Lepisosteus oculatus: one gene and its partner. The protein of the gene in region 1 interacts with the protein of each later gene in a pairwise test. Links are inferred from orthologs where the notes say so. Each region holds a gene or a part of one and is shown on either strand. Other genes may lie near its edges. The genes, in order: itsn2b and larp6a.

The links.
Region 2: the proteins of itsn2b (region 1) and larp6a interact in a two-hybrid assay, tested with the Homo sapiens proteins (2 studies listed by BioGRID, with this or other methods). The link is inferred for Lepisosteus oculatus from reciprocal best matches to the Homo sapiens genes ITSN2 and LARP6.

What each region holds. Positions count from the first base shown.
Region 1 is NC_090697.1:20,599,524-20,612,176, forward strand, and holds the start of itsn2b (intersectin-2), read right to left. Parts: upstream 4,884-12,653; 5' UTR 4,684-4,883; intron 1-4,683. Other genes in the region: intron Large complex component GCFC2, read left to right, coding at 7,210-7,531, 7,975-8,073, 9,660-9,791, 10,334-10,555, 11,275-11,372.
Region 2 is NC_090700.1:56,390,388-56,402,822, forward strand, and holds the start of larp6a (la-related protein 6a), read left to right. Parts: upstream 1-7,372; 5' UTR 7,373-7,417; coding exon 7,418-8,112; intron 8,113-10,984; coding exon 10,985-11,183; intron 11,184-12,322; coding exon 12,323-12,435. UniProt on the Homo sapiens protein: Regulates the coordinated translation of type I collagen alpha-1 and alpha-2 mRNAs, CO1A1 and CO1A2. Stabilizes mRNAs through high-affinity binding of a stem-loop structure in their 5' UTR.

The DNA of each region.
Region 1 (12,653 bases):
GTCCTGTAGTTTTCACTGTACATCAGAACTTTAAATGCATGATTGTTTTATTTTGGCAAAAAGTGAAATAATCGACCTAAATAAATCTACCCACTGCCTGTTTCAGAAAATATGTTCTGTGGGCACACCTGCTGTTAAATTTGAGATGACAAAAACTGGGAAATATGATTACATATTTGCATTATAAAATAATTTATATTAACACTGGAACCTATCCAAACAATTTATTAGTCACACGGAGCAGCTTTGCTTCTTGAATCAGGCTAATTGATTGATGTAAAAGATGTATTTAAAGGCAAGTAGTTCAGTTAACAATAAAAAACACAGGCTAGTAAGCATACACATGTAGCTTTATTCATTATTTCCTATATTTTTTAAAAAAATACAACACTCTGAAAACTTCCACACTTTTAATGATATCCTTCTAAAGACAGGTTGGCTTGGTTAGATTAAAAATTAATGCTCTGAAAAAAAGAGATGAAAATATGAATGAAAACTCAAAGCTTACAAGTTCGGTATCATAAAGACTGAAGACATATAGCCAAGCTATGTATGATGTGCAGTTATTACATACTGCTGATCACAGTACACTGACAGTACAATAAATTATAAAACTAATGTTGTGCTGCAAATCATTTAATAGGAGAATACAGTGTAATTTCTTCAAGACATATGCCACTAAAGTGCATGTCAGATTAACACCTCTGGTAAAAGGGCAAAACTAATAATATAACAATAGAATTTAAATAGAAAGTATGCCTGATGTTAAATTGTAATGCTTCCAGTTGTACTGATTCTTCTGTTATTGTATGGGCAATGTGCCATTTTCAATGTACAGTATGTATCCACTGCAAACACTCCCATTAGGTGTGTTACCATATTCCTGTTCTCCAAACAAATGCTAAATGCTAGCTTTTCTGTTGCATACATACCTACATTTGCATTTATTTAGCTAGTTGAAAGAATGTTAGAAAAACAAGAAAGTTTAAAAGACCACTGTCAGCATTTAATAATGATCCCAAACACCAACAAAGCAGACATTAGCTTTAACCTGCATCTCTGAAAACCTGATCTACATGCTGAGAGAAAACATCTGGTAGAACTGGTTGTTTTCCATTCTAATCAGTATTCCTCTCTGAATTCCAGCCTTGAAAATGTTATGCAAAGTGCATTTTGTCCTACAGAAAAATCACTGCATATCTGCAGCATTACACAACTAAAAATCTTTTTCAAATATGTTTACTTTAAACAAAGTGTGGAGACTAAAAGTTGCTAAAATAGCTAAATATTTTTTTTTAAAATATGCAGGCAATGCTAAAGTAAACTCCATGAAACATGATTACAATTCCAAACTTGCCAAACTGTGTGAGGATAAGTTTCAGTTCATGTTTAAAAATCATGTTTGCCTGCATTAATAAAAATGTCACATTCTTACAGACAACTCGCTGGATCACTGAGCAGTAATATCAATCAATCTGTTTCAGGGTATGTTACTACCTGCTTGTGATAAATTACTATATCTCAGCTGAAGATATAAAATCAATATCTTATTTTTGTGTTCTACTACATTCTCTAAAATGAATCTCATGCAATCACTCCCACATAAAACCTACTGACCTTATTGGCTATTTTTGGAGTTCTGAAATTTTGTATTTAATTCTGTTCTTTCAATAATCTTCAATTATCTTTATATTAGTATCACTTTCAGTATGACCTGTCATTCCTATGGAGAAGACAGCTCAATGCACTTTATTAAGTAATATCTTTGTGGGGCACACTCATGTTCAAATGGGTATAGGACCAGTTCTTGTGATTATGATTATTTTTCTAGCATCATTGGACCAAAGACTTCAAAAACACAATCACAAATCAGAGCTACAGAAGTAGCTATTCAGAAAATGAAAGCAAAGCAACTCAAGAATTTTCAATATTAAATTACATTAAGATACACAAAAGAAATACTGTATGTAGTGCTGCTCACTTACAGCCATGTAAGTATGTAAAGCACCTTGGAGATAAAATTGTTTTTGCCATTTTTCTTTGCTTCTGGTGTTCTTTTTTACTGTATTCTGATTGATGCGACTGAGGTTTTCAAAATCATGTGAGGCACAGACAAAGACAACAAAACAGACTTCTTGAGAACCAACAGCAAAACAAGAACCAAAGGACAAGTGGAAACTAGATAGATAAGAATTCAAAACAAAGAACAAGAAGCATTTCTTACACAGCGGGTTGTGGTAGTCTGGAACAAGATACCTAGCCATGCTACTGAAGAGAGTAACTTAGCTTCTTTAAAGAAATGGATAGTAAAAATGCTTTGACCAATCAGCTACTAGGAAACAAACATGAGCAGGTTCTGTTGTCAGTTTCTGTAGTTTATTCTCAGCGCAGTAATGCCTCCTTGTTCACAAACAGAATGATTCATTTGCTTATCTCACCCTTTGGATTAAAATGAGGGAAGATTCGTCATCCACAGAACTGAAAGTCATGTGTGACAACATCAGGCTTGCAACAATATTCACATATACACGTAGCACCAGTGAAAGTCACCAGCCAGCATAAACTAAAATTCTCTGAGGTGCAGACAAAGTCAAACCAATATACCAGAGCCATCAGTGAAACATTGACTACATGATACAAGTGCAAACTAAGGAGACAGGCACTTACAAATGAAAATGTTAGGCACATATTACACAAAGGGTTGTGGGAATCTGGAAACCAGAGACCATGTTGTTGAACCCAATAGCTCAAAAAATGGCTAGATAAAATACCCGAGTTAGCTACTAGCAAACAAACTAGCTAGATGGGCCAAATGGCATCCTTAGATTTGTAATGTTGCTTATGCTCATATCATATAAATCCACCCCTTTACGCACTGCAATTCATCAGTCAAAATACACATCCTCCTTCACTCTCTGGCTGCCACAACTCCTACACAAAACAGACAAACTCTAACTGTTCTGTATTCATAAGGAAGATGGTTTAAAGAGACACCAAAAGGGATTACAGTGCAGAAAAAGGAAAAATATCATCCTAGATCTACAGCAAATTCCTTCTCATCTTGTGGCTTGAGGTTATGAAAGTATTAACAAAGTGGACTGTTATCCTGTAACAAAATAATTATTGAATTAAACTCCCCAATATGTTCAAATACTCGAAGATACAAAGAAATAAGAGATTGGTTATATTCACATACACATCCTGGTCTGACCACGTGTAACATCGGATATGACCGCTTTAACTGACAACTGACGAACAGGATGCAGGAACCTAACAAGACTCATAATTTAAGGCACTGTTTTATTCTGGCTTTCTAAAAAGGGGAACACAAGGAACTTAAAACATTGTGTGTTGCATGATAAATTACTGTAATAAGTTCAGAAGTTAAAAAAATTCAGCCATGACTGAATTTTTTTAGTCCCCAGCTGCCCAGCTGCCCAAGACAACACACCTGTCTTGTGAAGTGTTAAAATATTCGAACCAGTTTCAGCCTCTTTTGCATTAAACAACACAAAGCCAATAGCAGTTTCTAATAGCACTAGTAATAGTTTAGAAATAGTAATAGAGTCTTTTCCACCCACCCCTTATTGAAGAGGACTGTATGGTGCATCTAAATGTCATCCGTGCAGGGACACAACAAACTAGATTCATGAATATTCTATTTTTATCTCTGACCCGAGATTCTCTTAGTCAAATAAGGAAAAGGGGGAGGATGGGATCCATTAATGAAAAACCGAATGAGTCTTCATTTTGATTTTTTTTTTCTCGCACAGCTTGCCAGGAAGAATCAAAAGTTTCCTGTTAGAAAGCAAGTGATTTCAAAGTAACAAAACGTCCAGATAATCAAACTGCTTTTCACTGTTCACTGTAAAACGTTTTAAAAAAATGCAAGAACCTGGTCGATTTTGCCACTATATACAGTACATTCCTGCATTAATTGAACAAATGCCCTTCAAGTGACTCACTAGACTCAAATTACTTTATCATTGTTTAATTTCCTAGTATTCATCGTGTTACAATTGTGAGGGTTCTTGTACTGACGCTCTAAACACGAAAAAAATGCTTAAGAAAAGTGGTTCGAAACATGTAGACCACTTTTTCTTAACATTTTAAAATACATGAAAGACAATTCAATCTCCAAAAAGAAAAGAAAAACAACCCATACATCAGAAGTGCAATAAAACAGTGTGTAAATGTTTCTAAAAATTGAAAATCATTATTCAAATTATTTCTTAAAGTCATGAAATTCATTAAATTCCTTATATAAAGCAGAGAAACCAGTGCAATGAAGTTTCATTCCTTTGCCTACTGCTGCAAGACACTTGCTTTAAATTCGCAACAACCTGCCAAGCGAGTCGTGAAAAGGAAATTTTCAAATATGTATTTCTTTACTGCTGCAACCACAATAAATGATTCAGAACATAAACCCCAATATATCAAGTAATCCTGTTTCTTATAACACTAGATTAAAAAAATCCTATGTATTCGTGCTTGTTTACATCCTCGCTTTCAATGTAACCGACAAGTTTCAATTTTAAAGCTTTAATTACATTACTTACTGATAAAATTCCAGCACCAAACTATGTTTATGTATATATACATAGAATATGTTCCTTGGTAAAATAATTTATATACATATTGTATATGTATAATGAAGTATTCATAATTCTTAAATTTACTTACTTTTCGTGGAAGGACACCAAAAATATTTTGGATTTGGTTTAATCCCGACTCTGGAAAATCTCCATTATCAACAAATGTTCTCGGTCAAAATAAGTAATTAGACGTGAGACTCAATGTTTATTTCCAGAAAACGTGCTTCAGTCTTGTACCTGTTGCTTGCTAGAAGCAGCACTGTAGTATTACACCAACAACATGGCTGACAACACGGAGCCTGATTACTATTCAACCCCAGGATGGGAGGGGAAATCTCATTTTTGCAACCTTGCACATACTGCCCTCTCACTGTTCAGGTACGCATCACACCCAGCCTGTCTTAATAGCAAAAAAGCTATGCATTGTCAGCATACCTGCAGGACTACGCCTTAAAAGCTATCCGTGCAAAAAATAAAATTGGTTGAAACAACAGATACTCCTTTTTAGTTTTAAAATTATATTTATTCACATCTCAGATTTTTGATGATAAAATAAATTCATTCAAATGTGGCTGCATGATATACTGTAATGTACTGAAATTACTAAATCTGACTTTGCAAGGCATTGGAACTCAAGTTGGTGGAGATTATACACACACTAAAATGTACTGCTTTATGATAATATCTAGTAGAATAAGACAAAAAAGAGTGAATACAGTGCCTGGCAGTACAAAGGACGACAAAATTGAACCAAGTTAAAGAAGGTAAAAAGTATTTGCCTAAGCGCTTTGTTCTTGAATAAGCAACAACAGTAAAGCAGGCTGTATGATTTACTTTATGATGTACAAAAGGCTTTTGATAAAAGTTTCCCATAAAAATAAATTCTCAAATTAAAAGTTAGTTGCATTTGGGGAAACTTCAGTTTTGGGATTAAGAACTGGTTAATGGACTGAGAGTAGAGAGTATAGAAAGGGGAAGATTGTTCAAACTGTGGTGATGTAATTAATGGAGTGCCAATGTAATAGACTTTAGATCATTTACAAATGTACAAATTAGTGTGTACATCATACAATTTCAACCTAATATTTTTTTATCCACTATATATACAGTACTAGCATGGGGTGGGCTCTCCTGGTCCTGGAGACCTGGTGCGTCCGCAGGTTTTTTAAGGTCTCTTTAAAGCAGCAGCACCTGAAGAGCAGGGTTATGGTAATAAATCAATCTACTTGAACAACTAAACAGCTGGTTTACCATGTTAAAGGCTGGAATGAAAACAGAAAGAGACACCATTGTTCTTGGAACAGAATAGCTGTGCTACAATGAGCTGCCATTGCTCTGCTGTGAAGTGGGGTGACAGGTCAGAGCCTATGACTCCTGATATACAGAAGGCATACTGTGAACCCTTGAGCATTAACTGTACTATTTGTTGAGTCTTAAGGCATCCTTCTACAGCCCATTTTATTCGGGATATTGGATTAAAATGTCTATTGAAATCACCATAGGAAGAGAAGACAGCAAGGTCCAGCTTCTCTGAACTTTAATTATTCAGTGCTTTAAGCCTGTTTCTGATGCATATGTAAAATTCACTTTCCTTGAGCCAGGACAGGGACAAGGCATGTACAGGAAAAGTGGATGTCATGGGGATCTTGGTGATAACATTATGCCTGTTGAATAGGGACCAATGTCCCCACTTCATGAGGTTAGAAGTACAGCACCTAAGTGCCAAACCTAAAACCTTTGTCCTGGTTGCCCAAGAAAGACCAAGATGTCTGGGTCTGTTTTATTCCAAAGAAATTCAAGGACTCCAAGTCCTCATCATAATAGAATGAATATCACCCTTCTGCTACTCAGTTAGCACACTTGTCTGTCTCTGCCTTAGAGTCATTGAACGCTTGAAATCTACAATCAAGACGTTACAGAGGAGAACCTGCTACATGGACAACTCAGAGGTTTTCTTTTTGGCACTGACTCATAGGTTGACAGCTCTGTATCTCTTAACTTCTCTTAAATAAGTAGGAGGGAGAGAGAAAGTAAGTTGCCTCTCACAGCCTGAGGGAATATTTAAGGACTGTGATTTCTGGGCCCAACTGTGGCTATGCAATTCTATTTGGCTTTAACAAGCAAGAACTGGCTGCACCGTTGTCCTTTAATTATAGTTTGCTTTAGTTTTCAAAAAGGCTCTTCTATGAAAAGTTCTAATTCTTTAACATTTTTATTGAAGGTTTTCAAAATGCCAAGTTTACTTTAATTTCCACAGAGTTCTTGAAGGAAGAAATAGAGCGACGCATTGTTTATGGACTACATTACCCATGATGCAGCCGGAGAGCAGGGAACCGGAAAGTACAAACGTAAATGTTGTTGAAGCAAATCGGAAGAAGTGTTGTAAGTGTACTTTTTTCCCCCCATAAATGAAGATGGAGTAATTGGTTTATGCTAACTTGCTTAGCATTTAAAAATGTAAATGTGTTTCATTGTGCTTTAGTCTTTCATTTACTTCACTACCGAGATACACGTGGGATGCTGTAAGGCTTAGTACTTTTTTTAAAAAAAAAATACATAAGATAATCATTTGCGATCCGCACTGTTGAGATATTATTGCAGTTCCCACCTGAATATGTTCGGTAAGAAACCAAAGAGAAACTTCAGGAGGAGGAAAGGAGATTCGAGCGGAGAAGATGAGCCTTCACAAGAAGAGCAGGGAGAAGCCACTGACGAGGTGAAGGTCTCGGTTGCTCCCCGGTTACTGAAGTATCCGCAGAGCCGGGGGATTTCCTGCACGTCTAAGCGGGAGTCCGGGAGCTCCAGGCCGGATTCAGTCGCCGGACAAAATCCGCACACAGAAAATGTAAGCGAAGATACGGCTGCGGAAGACGCTGCTGAGAAGAAACTGACGAAAAATAAAATCACTCTATTGAGTTTCGGTGATGAAAAACAAGGTACGCCCCAGTATTTATATTTCTGCGTGAATCTGATGTGGTACATGCACGGAGACAGCCTGCAGTAGATTCTGCAGATGCAAATGACATGCATGGGATCTCTTCACAGAATTGATATTTTAGCGAGCTGTCGCTGTGTCGCGAGCATAACCCAGGTGAAGCAGAAACGAAGAATATCTGTTTAAGCCAAGACACAGTAGGGAGGGTCATCGCTGATCATGCCTAGAGCTCAGACCTGTGCTGGAGTCATTATTGAACCATGCAGCCAAAAAAGGGACTCAAATATAACGTATGTTCCATTCTGATCTATAATTGCATTATAGAAAATGTCATCAAAAGCCTGCTATTGACATTGTTTTGTTGTTTTTCGTTTCTGTTCTTTGCATTCAATTAATGTGCACGTTTTTTTTTTTTCCTAACCTGCTGGTGTATTTTCATTTCAGTGGACGAAGATGACTTCAAGGTTAAAAAGCCTGTTGCCAAGGCCGTCGTTTTCAAAGCGCGAACAAAAGAGATCAATCCTCCCGCTTTTAATTCACAAGGTAAATTGCCAACTGCGTTCTTATGGTTTCATAACAACGGATGTGTATGTTAGCTGTTCGACGTAACAGGGCTCGGTGGCACTGTGTATTTTCCTGAAATGATGTCATCGTTTCTTGAAACGTTCATCATTGTAGAAATCTGGGGTGATAGAAAACCTGGTCTTTGGATTCGAGCAAAGTTTGCTACTTTTTATGGGGTGGTACAGTTCAACTGTGGTAAAAAAGAAATAATTTGTTACATTTTATATAGCGCTTTTCCAGACACTTTACAGGTAATGATAACTCATCTCCACCACCGGCAATGTGCAGATTCACACTTCACATACCTTAACTGAGTTTGTGTGAAAGTGGTCTGAGGTTTGTTTTCTTGGTTAACATCCTTATTTTTAGGGGGAATTGGTTCGCTTGTGACTACACTGCAATAATAATGTGTAGTAATTTGTTCATTGTGTTAGATGCAAAATTATTTTTTTTTCCGTAGTCTTGAATGGAGAAGTCTAGAAGCCAACATGATTTGAGTAGTCTGGCCTTGGTTAATCCTGGAAATGGGAGACCTCCAAGAAAAACCTGTTTGCTGTTCAAAGAGGTGTTGCTGGACCAGAGTTAGTGCATTCTAACTGGAAATGAGTTTCATTGCGTTTTGTTTGGCATTCTGTTACAAACTACTCAGCCATGTTGTTGAAGCGGGTTTCTTCAACATGGCTTCTTTCAAGAAATGGCTGGATGAGATCCTCAGGTCACTTAGCTACTAGTCACCCAGTGGGCTATGTAGGCCAAACTGCCTCTTTTTCTGTTAATAACCTTTTTATGTTCAGTGGCCTTATTTTATGTCTTTGATTTTGAAATTCATCTGGCTCATCTTTTTTAAATAGACTCTGCACTGTTTGCAGCTTTTGCAACCCTTTGTCTTTCAACCCCTGAGAAACAAATAGTAAATATACCATAAATATAGTAGATATTTGTATGTGTAAAATAGTTTTGGCGTGGTCTTAATGAATTTTTCTGTTATTCTGTTGCAGTTTGATTTATTTCCCAATTGACATTTGGTTTTCATGCTGTTCTCCATATAAACTGCACTTTACCGAGTGCAAAAACAATCACTACTCAAAACAGGCCATAAGATGAGCTCAGCTGAATGCCATTTAAACAAACTCTGAATTGGACTGAATACTCTTGGAGCATTCAAAACTAAACAAACCTCACTCAGTTAGGGGGAAAAAAACATCTCAAGAGAAGCAAAGCTCTTCACTGAAAATTAAGTTTCACATTTTATTATTAACATTAGCGAAAGGCAAGATGGGGAAATAGGTGAAATTATGTTACAGTCATACTACTGAGCATGTTATACTGAGGCAAAATGAAATCACTATTGATTAATTGCTCTGTAGTTGATTGGTAAAGAACTGGCATCAAGAATGAGCAAAACAGAGAATTATATGGTCCCCTGCGCAAGTAATGTTTTTATTTCTAAGTAACTGACTTAACATTAGTTCTGTAAATGTTTTTTTTGGAATGGAATGGGGGTTAAGATTGCTTCTTCAAAATTAAAAGATGTGAGTTTGACAGTTCCTGCTTGTGTTTTATAGGCCCCAAGGGTCCTGTTTCACAGAGTGACTGTGGGGACGATAAACCCGAAGGTGAAAAAATTCAGGATGGAAGCAACGATGATACAAGCTCCCAAAAATCTAGTTCTTCCAGCTCTTCAGTGTCTGATCCAGGTTTGTTGGAGGTTTCTCAGAAATTTTGAGCATTTTTTCCTCATTCTTATAATCTTTTAGAAAGTAAGTGATGAATTGGTCTTCAGTATTGCTCTATCGTTGTCATCTAAAATTTCCATTCCGGAAAAGTGTTTTCGACAAGTGTCCAGGATAATATTCCATGGAGGTTTAGAGGCGTGTATTTCAATGCTTCGTCTTTCTGAAGCTAGTTTGTAAAAAAAAAAAGTTTACAGACCAGACTGAACTTAACTCGCCTACCTGCACTGTGGCTAGACAAATACTGAGGCATAAAACCAAAAACCAAAAAAGTGTTGGTTTCTTGAACTCCTTTCTCAGACATCCATATGTGAGATTGCAGTGGGGGCTTTTGACACCTTGTATGTATATAGCAAGTAAGATGAATCTCCTAAATCAACGGCTTATGAAGAACTTAATAGGTGTAATGTGTTCTAAAGTTTCTGTAATTTGCATGTAGTCTTTTAGCTGCTGGCTTTTGGGTGTAGTTTATTTTTACACACGGTGTAAAACTTTGATCAGCGCAGGTGATATCCCTGATGCTCTACAAATTGAGGCTGCAAGAAGGCAACGTAAGCTGGCTAGAGCACGGCAGGACTATATTCCTCTGGCCACGAGACACGGGAGCAGTCCAGTGTTAAAAGATGAAGAGGAGGAAGACAGCGATGATGAACCCGATGACCACCAGCGGAGAATTCCATTTGCACCTAAACCGAAGACCCTGAGACAGAGAATAGCTGAAAAGATGAGTGAGTGAGGCTGTATAGTAAACTTTCACAAATCTGGCGAAGTTCTAAATGATAAAAATTGATGTGTGAGTACCGTTATTCTAACAGGATTAAAGCTATAAGGTGAATGGCCGTTTATAGAATCGTGAGATTTTGGAGGTTTGGTGATAAGCTAGTGTCCCAGCAAACCCGGTTTAATTTCCCAGCTCTGACTCAACTGTCACAACATTGTTTTTTTGTTAATTTTTACTTGCGCATTGGACAGTGGGTACATCAGACCAAGTCCTTAATTTGTTTCTTAGGAGGGTATCGGAAAGTGAAAACTTGTTTGTTTTTTACATTGCGCAAACTTAAAGGGTAATGACGTTTGATCCTCTGTTGAACTAGACCGCTGTTTTATGTGGACCCTAGTCTCCGTGGTTTATCGGCATTCTGATGTCATCAGTTTTCACATTTGTCAAAATGAACAGAAATTAGCAGCAAAATACACTGTGCAGATCAGGTTGTCTGGGGGAACTAGGTGTGTAGAGTCCATTGCAATGCTGCAGTAATAAAATGCATGTTGTGATTTACAAGCAATGTTTTACAGGGAAGCTGTTATTTAGACTTTCCACGCACTTAACCTTCCCCCTGTTCCCTGGATGTTTTTACTGTATTTTGGAAAAAATGTAGCTTTTGGAAAGACCTGGCTGTCTTGTCATGTTCTATGCCTTACACACTTTTCCTTGGGAAAATCACAGGTGAGAGCGGTAGTGAGGATGAAAGATCAAATAGCCAAGATGAGGATCAGAATCTGTGGGTGGAACAGCAAATTGGAAAAGGAGTGAAGAGACCTCAGGTGGGACTCCCTTCTGTCTTGCTTTTGTCTTTGTGCCGTTAATATTTTAAAGCTCTGAATTTAACTTTTCAAATGACTATAGTGCAGATTATAATTAAAGCTCTTAATAACTTTTGCTTCCATGGCATCTTACTGTTATTTCATCCATCCTGTTGTAGCATAAGTGTCCTGTACATTTCTTCAGCAACAGCAAACACAAGATGTTAAGTGAAGGGTTAGTAAGACCTGTGATGTCATTAGTAACTTTGAAATATCTGCAAAATAGTATCTCTGTGATGGGAGTCACTGTTCATGTATCAGCAGTGCCTGAACCCTGTACAGAGGTGTTCTGTTTGGGTGTGTGGCAAAATACATTTATAATCTGAGGTAGGTGGACATTATGGTAGAAGATTTTGTGCTCGGACAAGAGCATCCTTGGATCGATTCATTACTAAGTGTCAAATGAGTTAGATGGGCTGATTGGCCTCCTTTGTTTAATAAAACATATAAATTAAGAATTCCCCATAAATGATTAACTTTATCTAAGGCCTTCTGGAAGCCTAAACATATTTTATGCTCTGTGTGTATTGATTACTGGTGTTGCCTACTTAAAGTATATTTAATATTTAATACTTTATTTAGGAACTACCATTTCTACATTTGTTGGCTATCTCCTAGGGTGTTATTTCTATACGGTCCAACCTCTAGTTTTTTTCTAACAATTGTTTCTGTAGCCTTGCATGTAACAGGTCAGACGTATTGGTCTATAATCATGTGGGTCAGTTTTGTTGTCCTTCATGTGGATGAGACCTTCAATAGCTGTTCTCGAGTCCATGGGTACATGGAAGAGTGGCATCAATGATGTCTGAGTGGCATCTTTTATTCCCTTGAGTACAGTTGGTAAGATGCTCTCAGACCCTGGAGATTATTTATTCTTGAGTCCGTCTGGTAGCTGAAACACTTGCTTCTTCTACACAAAAACTGGTTAATAAAGAACACCATCCTGCTGCCTGAGGCATGTTGTTGACACTCTCCTTAGTGAACACCTGAGAGAAATACACCTGGTACATCTGCAATTTCCCTTTCAACGTCTAGTTGTTTATCACTTGTTACAGATACGTTTGACCTCATCCTGAATGATTCTTTAACTGATGTAGTAGTGAAATAACATTTTAGCCTACATTGCATTATTACTTTTTAAATGGTGCTTGCAGTTCAGTTTCAGTACTCCTTTTCTATATTGGGATACTGTTGATTTTTATCATTTCATAAAGCACTTTCTTTTTCCTAATGGTTTTTCTT
Region 2 (12,435 bases), on another chromosome or scaffold:
CCTTTCCAGAAATACGTAAGTGAAGGAAGGATGGGAGTTAAGGACACTACATGAACCTTCAAAAATGGATAATATTCTTTTATATTCGTAGAATTTGACAATTCTGTTTTAAAGGAGAAAAGAAATCTGTTCTGTTTAAGACTATAAAGGGAATAACTCAATCATCTTACTTTTTGTCCAGGTAACTTCCAAATTCCTTATGAAGTTATCACAATTGTGCCAAGTAAGACACCAGATTTGTACAAACAGCAGGTTGTGTGCACATTACATAGTTTGTTATTAATTTGCTCATAATTTAGAATCTTTGACAGGAAATATGAATTCATGAGAAGTGATTAACCAAACCCAAGTGTCCTGAAGAAACTCCTCAGTTCTCCTGTTCAGAATGCACATGGAGATTTTATGTTCTATCTTTCTGCCTTTCATTGAGTGAAGAGTTATCTCCAGCACTGGGTTATCAGCTTGGTGAAGTCATAAGTCAGATGAACAAATAATAATGATGGAATTGTGCCAAGAGCAGCAGTTAGTTTCCAAAATGAGACTTACTGCAGAGGAAAAAAATAAGAAGAATTCTTCAGTTTAATGGATTCTACAAACCTGTGGGATATCTCGCTTAAGCTACACAAGACATCCTGCTAAGAAACAAGAAATGACATGAGATATCCTGTTCTTATTTATTACCGTATGTATGGTGAATTGGCCTGTCAGAGACCCCTGGGGTGAATTTGTCTATAAATATCTTGCCTGACTCAGATGGTGAGTGTGACCAGGGAATGAAGAGCTGTATATCACTCAGTGATTCAGTGGCAGATGAAACACACTTTAACAGGCACTGGAGCCAGTTATACTGCAGCTCTTTGAATACGTTTTTTACAAGCCTTTAGAGCAGGGGCATCCAATGGGTCCTGACAAGCCCCATTCCAGTTAATTTTATAGGTCACTTGGTTCTAAAGATCGGGAACAGCTGTGCATTATTGAGCAATTAAGCAAGTAATCTGCTCAATTAAGAGAATTGGGGAGGGGAGGACCAGAGTATTCAGAATTTGGTCCCATACAATATCTCAAAATTATTTTATTTAATAAGTCATCTGAAATCCTTACAGTGTTTGTTTAAACAGTTTTTTAAAGCTGTTGAATATGAACTAGAAAAATATCAGTGGAAACTACACAGAAGTGCTTTTAAAACTGGTAACAGGAGACACTTCTTTACCCAAAGAGTTGTGGGAGTGTGGAACAGGCTCCCCAGCCATATAGTCCTGGCCTCTTTCAAGAAATGGCTAGATGAGATCCTTGGAACAGCTGGCTACTAAGTTCAAAACTCACTCATTCAGGCCTACTGCTTCCATAACCAAGTGTGTGAAATCTGGAAAACCAGTAATGCTTGTTTTGGCAGTGTGTGATACAGTGTAAATCTCCCATGAATACAATTTCTTGGTAACCCAGTAAAAAAGGTGTTTATGTGCAAAAGGTAAGAAGTGAAGAATTCAATAAAATGTGGGCAGACAAAACTTTATTTCTTTAAATTTTTATTGGAACCACAACAGCAAACCCAAACACTCCTAGATTACAAGAAACAGTTAAAAAGATCCAAGTAAAAAAACACTGTTATGTCAATCTGTTTGTGTACTGTAACTGTCTGTTAATGCTGATAATTTTTTTCAAAATGCATCTGTCAGTTACTATCTCTCATATTTATAAAACACCTAGATCTTTTGTTTGAATATATTTCTAGACAGCTAATAATCTTGAAAATGGAAGGATCACCTCGTTTGAATTTGTGCACATTTCTGCTTGCCATTAAAAAATATACAAATAGGAAGTAAAACACTTTTGAAACAAATGTAAAATAATACAGAATACAATACCACAGTGCATACAAGTCATTAATAAATAATGATAAAGCTGTGAAGATATCACAGAATTCAAACAGCCAGACTGTAGAGATTCCTTCAAAATTCTTCCTGGTATTTGAAAACAGCAAACGTGAGAGGGGGAGGGGAATTAAGAGTTGGAGGGAGACGGGCAGCGCTGGAGAGAGTAGGAGGAAGGAAATTCCCCAGTTCGCCTCCGCGAAGTCACAGTGTTACATATGGTGTGGGCGTAACCCGGCCCCACAGGAAGAGCACTGACACAGCAGTCTGCGAGCAGGCATGTAGCTCAGTGGGTTCATTCAGTTGTGTTCAGCACTCCGTACATCAGGCGCTCCACAGAATCTGTTTAAAACCATTGCATATCACAGTGGAGAGAATGAAGATCATAATTGCATCGAGAAGTAAGACAATAAGACACATTTATTCAATTAATATAATCATTTTTGTTAGGAAACCTTCACTGGTTAGAGAGGGCACGAAAATTGGATCAGCTGGTGCCAATCTTTTAAAGTTTCTGTTTTGGGACAGAAGTTCAAACTTGGTCCCATATGCATCATCCGCAGATGAAAGAGAATTTTGAAGAGTTTAGGATATGCGTTTTTCACAGCTGCAATTTATGTATTGGGACCAGTCTGATGACAATATTGTAGTGCAGTTGTTTTGCACTGTCATTCAACACCATGGTCAATTAGCTTAATCAACAAATCATGCCTTTTGCAAAATAAACTTACATGTAGGAAGTTATTAATGGCAATTGACCGAATGTACAGGGTGAACAACAGTCACAAAATGAGTGTTTCGGTGACATTTATGAACTTAATCTTCTCAGCCAAATGAATAACAACAAGTTGAAAATCTATAGCAGTTTGCATTAAAAAAAAAACATACTAATAAAGTCTCATTGGATCCAACAGTCCAAACCCTAAGGCTATCTCCCTATATATTTCAGAAGAGGCCTGGATATCACAGACAGAGTAAATGACGTCATACTAGGTGACCTCACCAAAAGGTCTTTAAGGCTTTTCAATTCAAGCACTGATGAAGCACCTGGTAATTAAACTTTGTTCTAACCCCTTTTTACACTCAGACAAGCTTTCAACTTGCCTTTCCAGCTACAAGCCCTGTGCTGCATGCATGCTGTTACGACACGCCCGTCTGACGAGGTGCGCCCTCCACAGCGCCTTGGCGAATCAAGAGAAGCAGTCAGAGGGATGGCAAGCCTCTCTTATGTCACTGCAATCCTGGAGGTGCACAGACGGTCTTAGCAGACATTGAGAGGCCCAGGTCCGCCAGGCTTGCTGCTCGGCCAGTCGTGTCACAGTGAGTTCAGGCCCGGTCCAGACTGGGCACGCCAGGTGGGTTTCCACTGCTTGGAGAAACTGAATTTCTAATGGTGCCACCTTGGTGCAGCAGGATGACAAACCTGCGCAAGTCATAACCATTACATCCCAAAAAGGTTTAAGTGCACAGCAGATCCTCTTTCAGAACTTCCAAAATGCTCTTTGAGCCAGCACCCTATCTATTGACATTTAGACTGATTTGTACTGGTCCGTGGAATACCCCTAGCACCGAGCTCTCATGTCTGTCTCATGGAATCTCTGGCATCATATTTCAACATTTCTTGTTAAGCCTCACAGGTACACCTCTACTATATTCACACTACAGCTAAAGACAATGCAGTTCATCCACAGTATGACACTCACAGCATGGGCAATCATAAACTCCAATGGCTCTTTCTTCTGTGGGGAGTGACATTAGCCCCAAGGTCCCCACTGAAGAGAGGTGTCCCCTTGAAGGACACAATGAATTAAGAAAATAAATGTTACAGGTACATTCCTTAAAGCACTACGACAACACCCAGGGAAATATAATGAATTTCAGAAATCCAGCTTTTAACACAGCAGCCTGTCGATTTGTGAAGAACCCAGGAGTTAAGATTGACTTTAACATGACTTTGTATCTCAACATTAACCTCACTTTTTGTTTCACTAACTTTGTGTTCTGATATCAATATAGTGTCTACAACTCAGCTTCCATCAATGTCCCCAGTTGCGTAGGGAATACACTTTGTTTTATTAACCCATTACCAAAACACAAAACAGAAAGCTGTCCTATATATGCTTCTGTAAAACTAATCAGACTGTTAATAACCTAAAAATGAAATGCAGTCAAAGCATCAAGGGTCAGGCCTGCCTCTTCATAATCACTTAGAGCAAAATCAGAAATAATTCAGTATTTTTTTTTTACTTTATTATAATATATCTTGTTAATGTGAAAATAGGTTTCCTACTCTCAGTGAAACCAGTTCAAGTAACCCAAATTAAATTTTAATTACATAGCATTTCCTGAAAAAGTTCATATATGATAAAATTAATTGTAGAATTAAATAATAAAATATATGTAAATATATGTTATAAGCTGTGTGGATGAGTCTTTAAATTATAGTCTCACAATTGTTATCATGTTTCTCATTCTGAAATGTAAAGAGTATGTTTAGAAATCTGCTAATATTTCATAACCACTAGAGAAAGGTTTGTACAAAAAGCTGACTGATTGTTATGAAACATAAATCGGCTCTCCGGCAGCCTCACAATGATCTTTGCTCCTCTGTGCTGCAGGAATGACAGCACATGAAAGCACCAGGAACCTCTCAGTCAAAACATTTCCCAAAACAAAAAGACCTTGAATAGCATATACTGTACATTTCAGACACGAGAGCTGTGCAGCTTTAGCTAACAAAAACAGATGTTTTAAAAATTCAATACAGTACTGAAAGTAGATCACAGTGATGAAATTTCTACATGTTTTATTAAACAAGGTATTGTATCTTTAATACAAAATACATTTTCCAAATAGAATAGATAGAATATTCAAACTATGAAAATATGTTTTTAGTGATTCTATACACACTGCTTCTCAGTTTTCCAAATGAATGTACATCTGCTAATAATTTATACAACATCACAAAGCTTCTACACCCACCGCTGGCCATATTACAGTCCTAAATGTTCAGAAAACTCTGTTCAGCAAACTGGCTTTTCTTTTAATAACACAGCATCTATATGTCAATTAAACTGGATCAACATGCAACTGTTTGCAAATGAAAACTAAATTAAACAAGATGTTTTTTTGTTTAGCTTTCCAGAATTTCATGCAGTGTCTACTTTTTTATGTGTGACACAGCAATACTTTCTTCATGATGCAAAGAGATCAGAGCAGAGGAAACATAAACACCCATTACAGCCCAGACAAGCAGAGACAACTTGGAATGTTAACGAGGTCTGAAACCTCAGACGTCAGTTCAGTCCTATGATATTGTCTTCTGTACGGGCAGGTCCCAGGTCTGCGCTTAGACCAGTGCTATCCCTCTGGGGCATTGCCACACTGCCACCCCTCACACCCCTCTGGGGCACTGCCACACTGACACACCCCTCTGGGGCACTGCCACACCCCTCACACCCCTCTGGGGCACTGCCACACTGACACACCCCTCTGGGGCACTGCCACACCCCTCACACCCCTCTGGGGCACTGCCACACCCCTCACACCCCTCTGGGGCACTGCCACACCCCTCACACCCCTCACACCCCTCTGGGGCACTGCCACACCCCTCACACCCCTCACACCCCTCTGGGACACTGCCACACCCCTCACACCCCTCACACCCCTCACACCCCTCTGGGGCACTGCCACACTGACACACCCCTCTGGGGCACTGCCACACCCCTCACACCCCTCTGGGGCACTGCCACACCCCTCACACCCCTCACACCCCTCACACCCCTCTGGGGCACTGCCACACTGACACACCCCTCTGGGGCACTGCCCCACCCCTCACACCCCTCACACCCCTCTGGGGCACTGCCACACCCCTCACACCCCTCACACCCCTCTGGGGCACTGCCACACTGACACACCCCTCTGGGGCACTGCCCCACCCCTCACACCCCTCACACCCCTCTGGGGCACTGCCACACTGACACACCCCTCTGGGGCACTGCCCCACCCCTCACACCCCTCACACCCCTCTGGGGCACTGCCACACTGACACACCCCTCTGGGGCACTGCCCCACCCCTCACACCCCTCACACCCCTCTGGGGCACTGCCACACCCCTCACACCCCTCTGGGGCACTGCCACACCCCTCACACCCCTCACACCCCTCACACCCCTCTGGGGCACTGCCACACCCCTCACACCCCTCTGGGGCACTACCACACTGCCACACCCCTCACACCCCTCTGGGGCACTGCCCCACCCCTCACACCCCTCTGGGGCACTGCCACACCCCTCACACCCCTCACACCCCTCTGGGGCACTGCCACACCCCTCACACCCCTCTGGGGCACTGCCCCACCCCTCACACCCCAGCCAACCCTCCAGAGAAGGACAGTCAGCAGGATAGTTTGCTGTAGTGAGTCACTGGCCTGGCAGAGCAAATGTGTTACCTCATTCAGTGCTGAAAGTGTTCTGTTTTTGTTGACATACTGAGAGCTACCACACTTAGGACATGTGCTGACTAAAATAATCCCTTTATCAGGAATTCAAAGCACTACAGCTATTAACAACATATCACAGGCAGTGAATCATAGGAATTGGTTGTTAGATTCAGGTCTCAAATGGGATGACTTATCAGTTTCAGTTTTGTCTGTAGCAGAAGACATAAGACAAGATAAAAAAGTAACAGCCTTCAGATATAGAAATGAATGTGCAGAATGATCTTCCCAAGAGCTGTCTTGCAAATTTTTCAGTTAAACTGAGACAAACTCAAAGAGCCTGCTTTTGGGGTGGTGGGTACTCTCTTTAAATAGAGACTCAATGGCACTTTCTTTAAGAGAAGACTCCTAACACCCTTGGTGTAAAGACTTGTTTCCTGCTCTGAGTCTTAAATTGTGGTCAAATTTAAAATTACACATTCAAGGAAATAATGTATAATTCTGGTATTATTCCTGCTTCTTGATAATTTAAAAATATTTGAAATTATTCTAAAAAACAGATAACAGCAATTTGATCTAGAGGTCGATCTTATTCGTTTATTCTTCTAAGCCTCAAGAAGACTAAGAAAATTTCTGTTTACATTCAACAAAACGTCCACGATATCTCCATGTTGATAAGGTGATTTTTATAACGCTCCGGCTGGCATTGACAAGCTTTTTTTAATCTGTTGTGAGTAATAAAATCGCTAATTGACAACCAGGTTAGATTAAGATTACCAAATGAATAAAATGTGACTCCTGTATTAGGCCTACCCTGTGTCCACAGGCGTCTTCAAACCAAGAATCTGAAATCTACATTTATTTTTAGTCTCCAGCACAGTCAAATCCCTTCGCAATCCCGCTCTGCTCTTAAAATGAAATCTCATTATCCAATTTGCAGGTCTGCGAAACATTGTGTGGATCGGCACCTTTGATTGGCGCGTTGCCCGTTTCTCGCTTGTTGTATGTTGCAACCACTTAACGCGGTGAGGGCCCCCCTACATTACTTATATTGCGTGCGTGTAGACACGCTCGGCCGCAGTCGTCTCCCCCGAGCACCGAGAGACAAGATGCACGCTTTGGTAAATGCGTTTCTGCGCTGCCTCTCGCTGCTCCTGCCTCCCCCCTGGTTTCAGCTCGGCTTTTGCTGGTGGGTTGGGGATGAGTGCAGAAAGACGGTGCTGCCCAATCCCAGGGCTCGTTTCAAAGGGAGAAAGCCTCTTACAGATCAGGAAGTAAGAGCAGAAGACGCTCCCGTCCCCTCCTCTTCCCCTAACACTAGGTGCGTCTCGCTAGCAGTCGCCTCCTCGCCGCCCCCGGGATCTCCTTTAGGGAGAATCTGGGAGCTCTGGCAGGCTTTTGAGCGTAACCTCGGGGCTCCGCTCGCGTTCCCCCAGCGCTTGTCCCCCAAGACCTGGGGTTCACGGAGCACGTACGCGGTGGCTTGTGCGAGCACCGAGCGAGGCACGTCCGCACCTGAAGTCGGTCAGGAGGCAACCGCGAAAGAGGAACCCGGGGATTTCGCGGTTCTGGCGGAGGCTGGGCTCGCTAGCCCGGCGATGGAGACGCCGAGCCGCCCGGAGCCCGGGTCCGAGTGGGAGCCGCGGGGCCAACAGCTCCAGGAGATGGGGACCCAGGTGAAAATCCGCGTGGCTATCCAAGCGGCGGAGGACGAAGACCCCGAGGGCGACCTGGTCCCCGATCACCTGTATTTCAGAGGAGGCAGCTGTAGCGAGGACGAAATGGGCAGACACGATAAGTCCAGGTATATTGTTGTCATTGTAAAATCAGTGTAACTGCCGTAATTGTAAACAGGCACACAGTAAAACCAGTTGTTTTAACACTTGTTACGTTTAGTCTGGGTGTAAATGCGTTGCCGATGTAAACTATAAAAAGGGTACGAACAGTTTTTAAACGCCGGGAGTGTCTGGAGGGGATCTCCTCTTCGACCACCTGTATAAACGCATATCTTGCCCAATGTGGCGGGTTGACCACTAAACTTGCAAAGCGAACGCCGTCGGATGACATCTGAGGGCGAGCGCTCTGTAGCGGTGTCTTCTGCTGTAACCTTTAGTCGTTTCTAAACCGAATATACTTAGAGCATCCAGATGTGAAATTGCGGTGCCTCTAGCAAGCGTTTATTTTTAGTATGGCGCAATTGTTTTCTTGTTCAGCATTTAATCTGATTAAATTGGCAGCATTTACGTCTCCGATGCTGCGTGTTTTAACTGAGGTTGCATATCTGCTAGCTGTTTAAATGGCGTTTTGCATGGGGCCTGTAGTGGGTAGGAAACTGTTTTGGGGAATAAACAGTTTATGCTTTGTGCTGCGTAAAAGAAATGAGCATCGCCAGATCCGACAGACCATAAACCAAGACAGCGCTCGCATTTTCACCTTGTAGCAGACCAAAACCATGCGGTGCCCTAAACCCTGTTTTTATTCAGTACGTTCTTGAAGAATCCTTCCTGTTTCTTAAGCTTTTCATATTGGTTACTTCAACGAGTTCTCCAGGTGTGAATGCTCGGGATTTACAGCACCTCAGTGGTACACTAGGTCGTCGTCCTGTTTAGGGGTGTTCTGGTAAACGGGAGAGATCCACCCCGGCAGTTTAATCCTCAAGGGCGCACATCAGCATTCTTCTACACCAACTGCAACAGGCTGTGCAAGAAGGGGGTTGGTGCTACTACAGATTTCGAATCCTTTCCCTTTTATGTGGGGGGGGGTATCCCCCTGAGTCCCAGAGCGTTTTTAAGTAGCTAATCCTACTGGAGATGCAGTATAAGCCTGAATTTGACGACGTCATCAAACAGCTATGACGCAGATGAGAGGCGTCTCTGTAGGATGACCGGGGAGTGACCGTTTCCACACTTAAGTGTGTAGGACCAAGTATTTAATTCAAATAGCTGCGCCATGGCGGCGAGCAAAATAGTAAACAGGCTAGACCACTGAATACGGAGCCTTCTTACTGAATAGGAGACTTCAGCAGCTTTATTCGAAGCTTTTGTAACGCGTCATCTTTTGGTTATGCTAGTAACCTTTCAAAGTACAGGCAACTTAGTTCATGATTACATGTACTGGCAGGGAGTATAATTGGTTTTGGATTGGAGTGAAATATGTCGGGCTTTGAAATCTGAAGAGCTGTTAGCCATCTGATTTATCACATGGCGTCCGTGTAGAATCTGTCGCTCACGTTGCGCTTGTGGTGTCTTGTGATCGCAGGAGCCGGAGGCGCTGTGGGGGAGGCTCCGGTCTGTTGCTGTAATGAACAGTAATTGCACAGCTGGTTCTGCTCTCTACCCCAGACGTTAATTAGAGCTCCCTAGGTCCACTGATGTCGAAGTGTCTGGTCTCACCTCAGGCAGGCCTGTCCTGTTGTATTTAGAAAGGGAGCTGAAAAGCATTTTCTGCAGTAGCCCTCCTCCCAGTTCTATCGATTTTCGTCGTGGGCAGAACTGATTTTACGAGCAAGTGTTACGGCAGTGTGCCTGGTGTGTACAGTTACCTTGGGGTGAACCTAGTGAATTAAAGCTTTTGGTTCATCCAGATAAAGTCCTGTGAACTGTTTGAGGAGTCAATTCAATTCAAGGTGCTTTATTAGCATGGCTGATGGGTACAGTCAGTGTTGCCAAAGCAAATAAAATGAAATTCACATGAAACAAAAAATAACTAATCTACAGACACTTACAACAATGACATAAAATATTTACATATACTGCAGACAGAAGGAACATTATTGGGAGACAGACTCACTGTTCCTCAGGCTGGGACAGGAGATCACATACTGGGCTGCCAGTTCAACTGAGTTCCCTCCTCCCTCTCCCAGTAGGATTGGGACCCGTTGTGATTCTGGCAGGTGTGGGAAGTCCCTGTGTACTTGGCAAAGAGGTGTATAAACACAGCAGCAGAGTGGGTGAGCAGTTTAAGATGGGAGGGGAAGTAGTCTGAAGGTACTCATGCTGTTGATACTGAAGTCCTGAAAGCAACTTCATTTCTGCCTTTATAGCTCCAGGTCTTTGAGTAGTGAACGTGTTCAAGTTAACTGACCAAACCAAGTGCTTTTAAATTAAAAATCTTAATGTCTGGTTTATTGTAAAATTCTGAAGATTTAAATATTAGAGATGGATGTTTTTAACATGCAGCAGTTACATGTGTGCAGGTAATGCATCGTTTGTAGTTTTGTGAGCTGTAGATGTTCATAGTACTGCGATTACCAGCATTTGCATAGTGTTGGAAATGTATTTCCAATTTTTGATGAGGGTTCTGTTCATCTATTCAAGGTGCCGAACCAGCAAGAAGGTAATAGGAAATGCAGCCTCTACAATGGAAAGTTAGTGCTTTTAATCATTTAATCAAAAATCTGGGTTTTCTTTTTCTGAATAAGCAAGGTACTGAACAGTTCCGTGTCGTCTTCATTTTTAAATGGTTTACAAATCCTGTGCTGGCTGTGATGAAAGCCAATGAAGTTATTGGGATCTCAACATGAGCAGGAGGATGCTGTGCCTCTCAAGAGCCAAGGAAGTCCTTGGTTGAAGAACTGAAAGTTTAAATACTTGGCTCAGTGGACAAATGGTACAGACTCACTGCGGGTTGAGTCTGGAAAGTGCTGCTTTGTGGTGAGAGCTTGTTCTCTTGGCCAGTGGCGCGGGGACCAGCGGAGGAGAGAATGAGGAGGACGGCTGGCAGCCCCCCGACCCCGAGCTGACCCAGAAGCTCATTGCGCAGATTGAGTACTACCTGTCGGATGAGAACCTGGAGCACGATGCCTTTCTGCTCAAGCACGTCCGCCGCAACAAGCTGGGCTTCGTCAGTGTCAAGCTGCTCACCTCCTTCAAAAAGGTACCCTGTGCCACAAGTGGGCCCCTCAGTTTAACAGGCCTGGTCTTATTGGCCACTATATTACAGGAACTGGGAAGTGCTTAAATTATTTCTAGTCTGTATTAGTATTGCACTACGAAAAGTAACTGATTGTAAAGGACTATTGTACCATTTAATTATCAGTTTTGTTAAACCTAACTAAAACCAAAATATGGAGTCCAGCTTTTTTGCTCGGTTGCAAGCTCTGCAGCTGTGTACAGGAGAACTGGGGGCTGTGGCCAAACTGACCTCGCCGCCTTTGAGCCCAACGCATGCGTGATTTTTTTTTTTCCAATGCCGCATGCTGTGGGGCTCTGCCGGCTGGAGGAGAGGTGCGCCCCTCTCTGCTGTACCCTCGCAGTGCCAAGTGCCCAAGAGGCTGCAGGACTGCTGGCAAAGTCTGGAGCCAAAGCAGTCTGATCCTAAACTTTCCCTGGGGGGCACTTGGACAACCGCACTGCTGCTTGGAGAATCCAGTCTGTCAGTTAGGCTTCCGTGGGGGTGTGAAGAAAATCAAGCCCCCAGCAGCCATCAGACATGATAATGGACCCCATTTACACATCCTTCGGATGAGACGTAAAACCGAGGTCCTGACTCTCTGTGGTCATTAAAAATCCCAGGGTGTTTCTCGAAAAGAGTAGGGGTGTAACCCCGGCATCCTGGCCAAATTTCCCATTGGCCTTTACCAATCATGGCCTCCTAATAATCCCTCTCTATAAATTGGCTTCATTACTCTGCTCTCCTCCCCACTGATCGCTGATGTGCACTATGGCTGCACATTGGTGGTGGTGGAGGGGAGTCCCCATTACCTGTAAAGCGCTTTGAGTGGAGTGTCCAGAAAAGTGCTATATAAGTGTAAGTTTATTATTATTTAAAGTAACTTGGCAAATGTGCTAAGCAAAATCCCTATCTAACATTAGTGAAGCCTCCTCTTCACCTTAGTGTAGCTCTCTGACATGTTGGCATTTATTGCACAGGGAGATGAATGAGCCTTGTGATCAGTTGCATGTACCCGCTTTGTATTCCTTTTAAAATAAAGTGCAAGCCCAGCACTGTGGAATTGTAGCTCACGCCCTGCGCAGGGCCGGAAGTAATCTTTGGTGAATTGTGCTCCCTCACAGGTGAAGCACCTGACCAGGGACTGGCGGACGACGGCCTACGCCCTGCGCCACTCCGAGCTGCTGGAGCTGAACGAGGAGGGCCGCAAGGTGCGGCGCAAGGCGGCCGTGCCCGT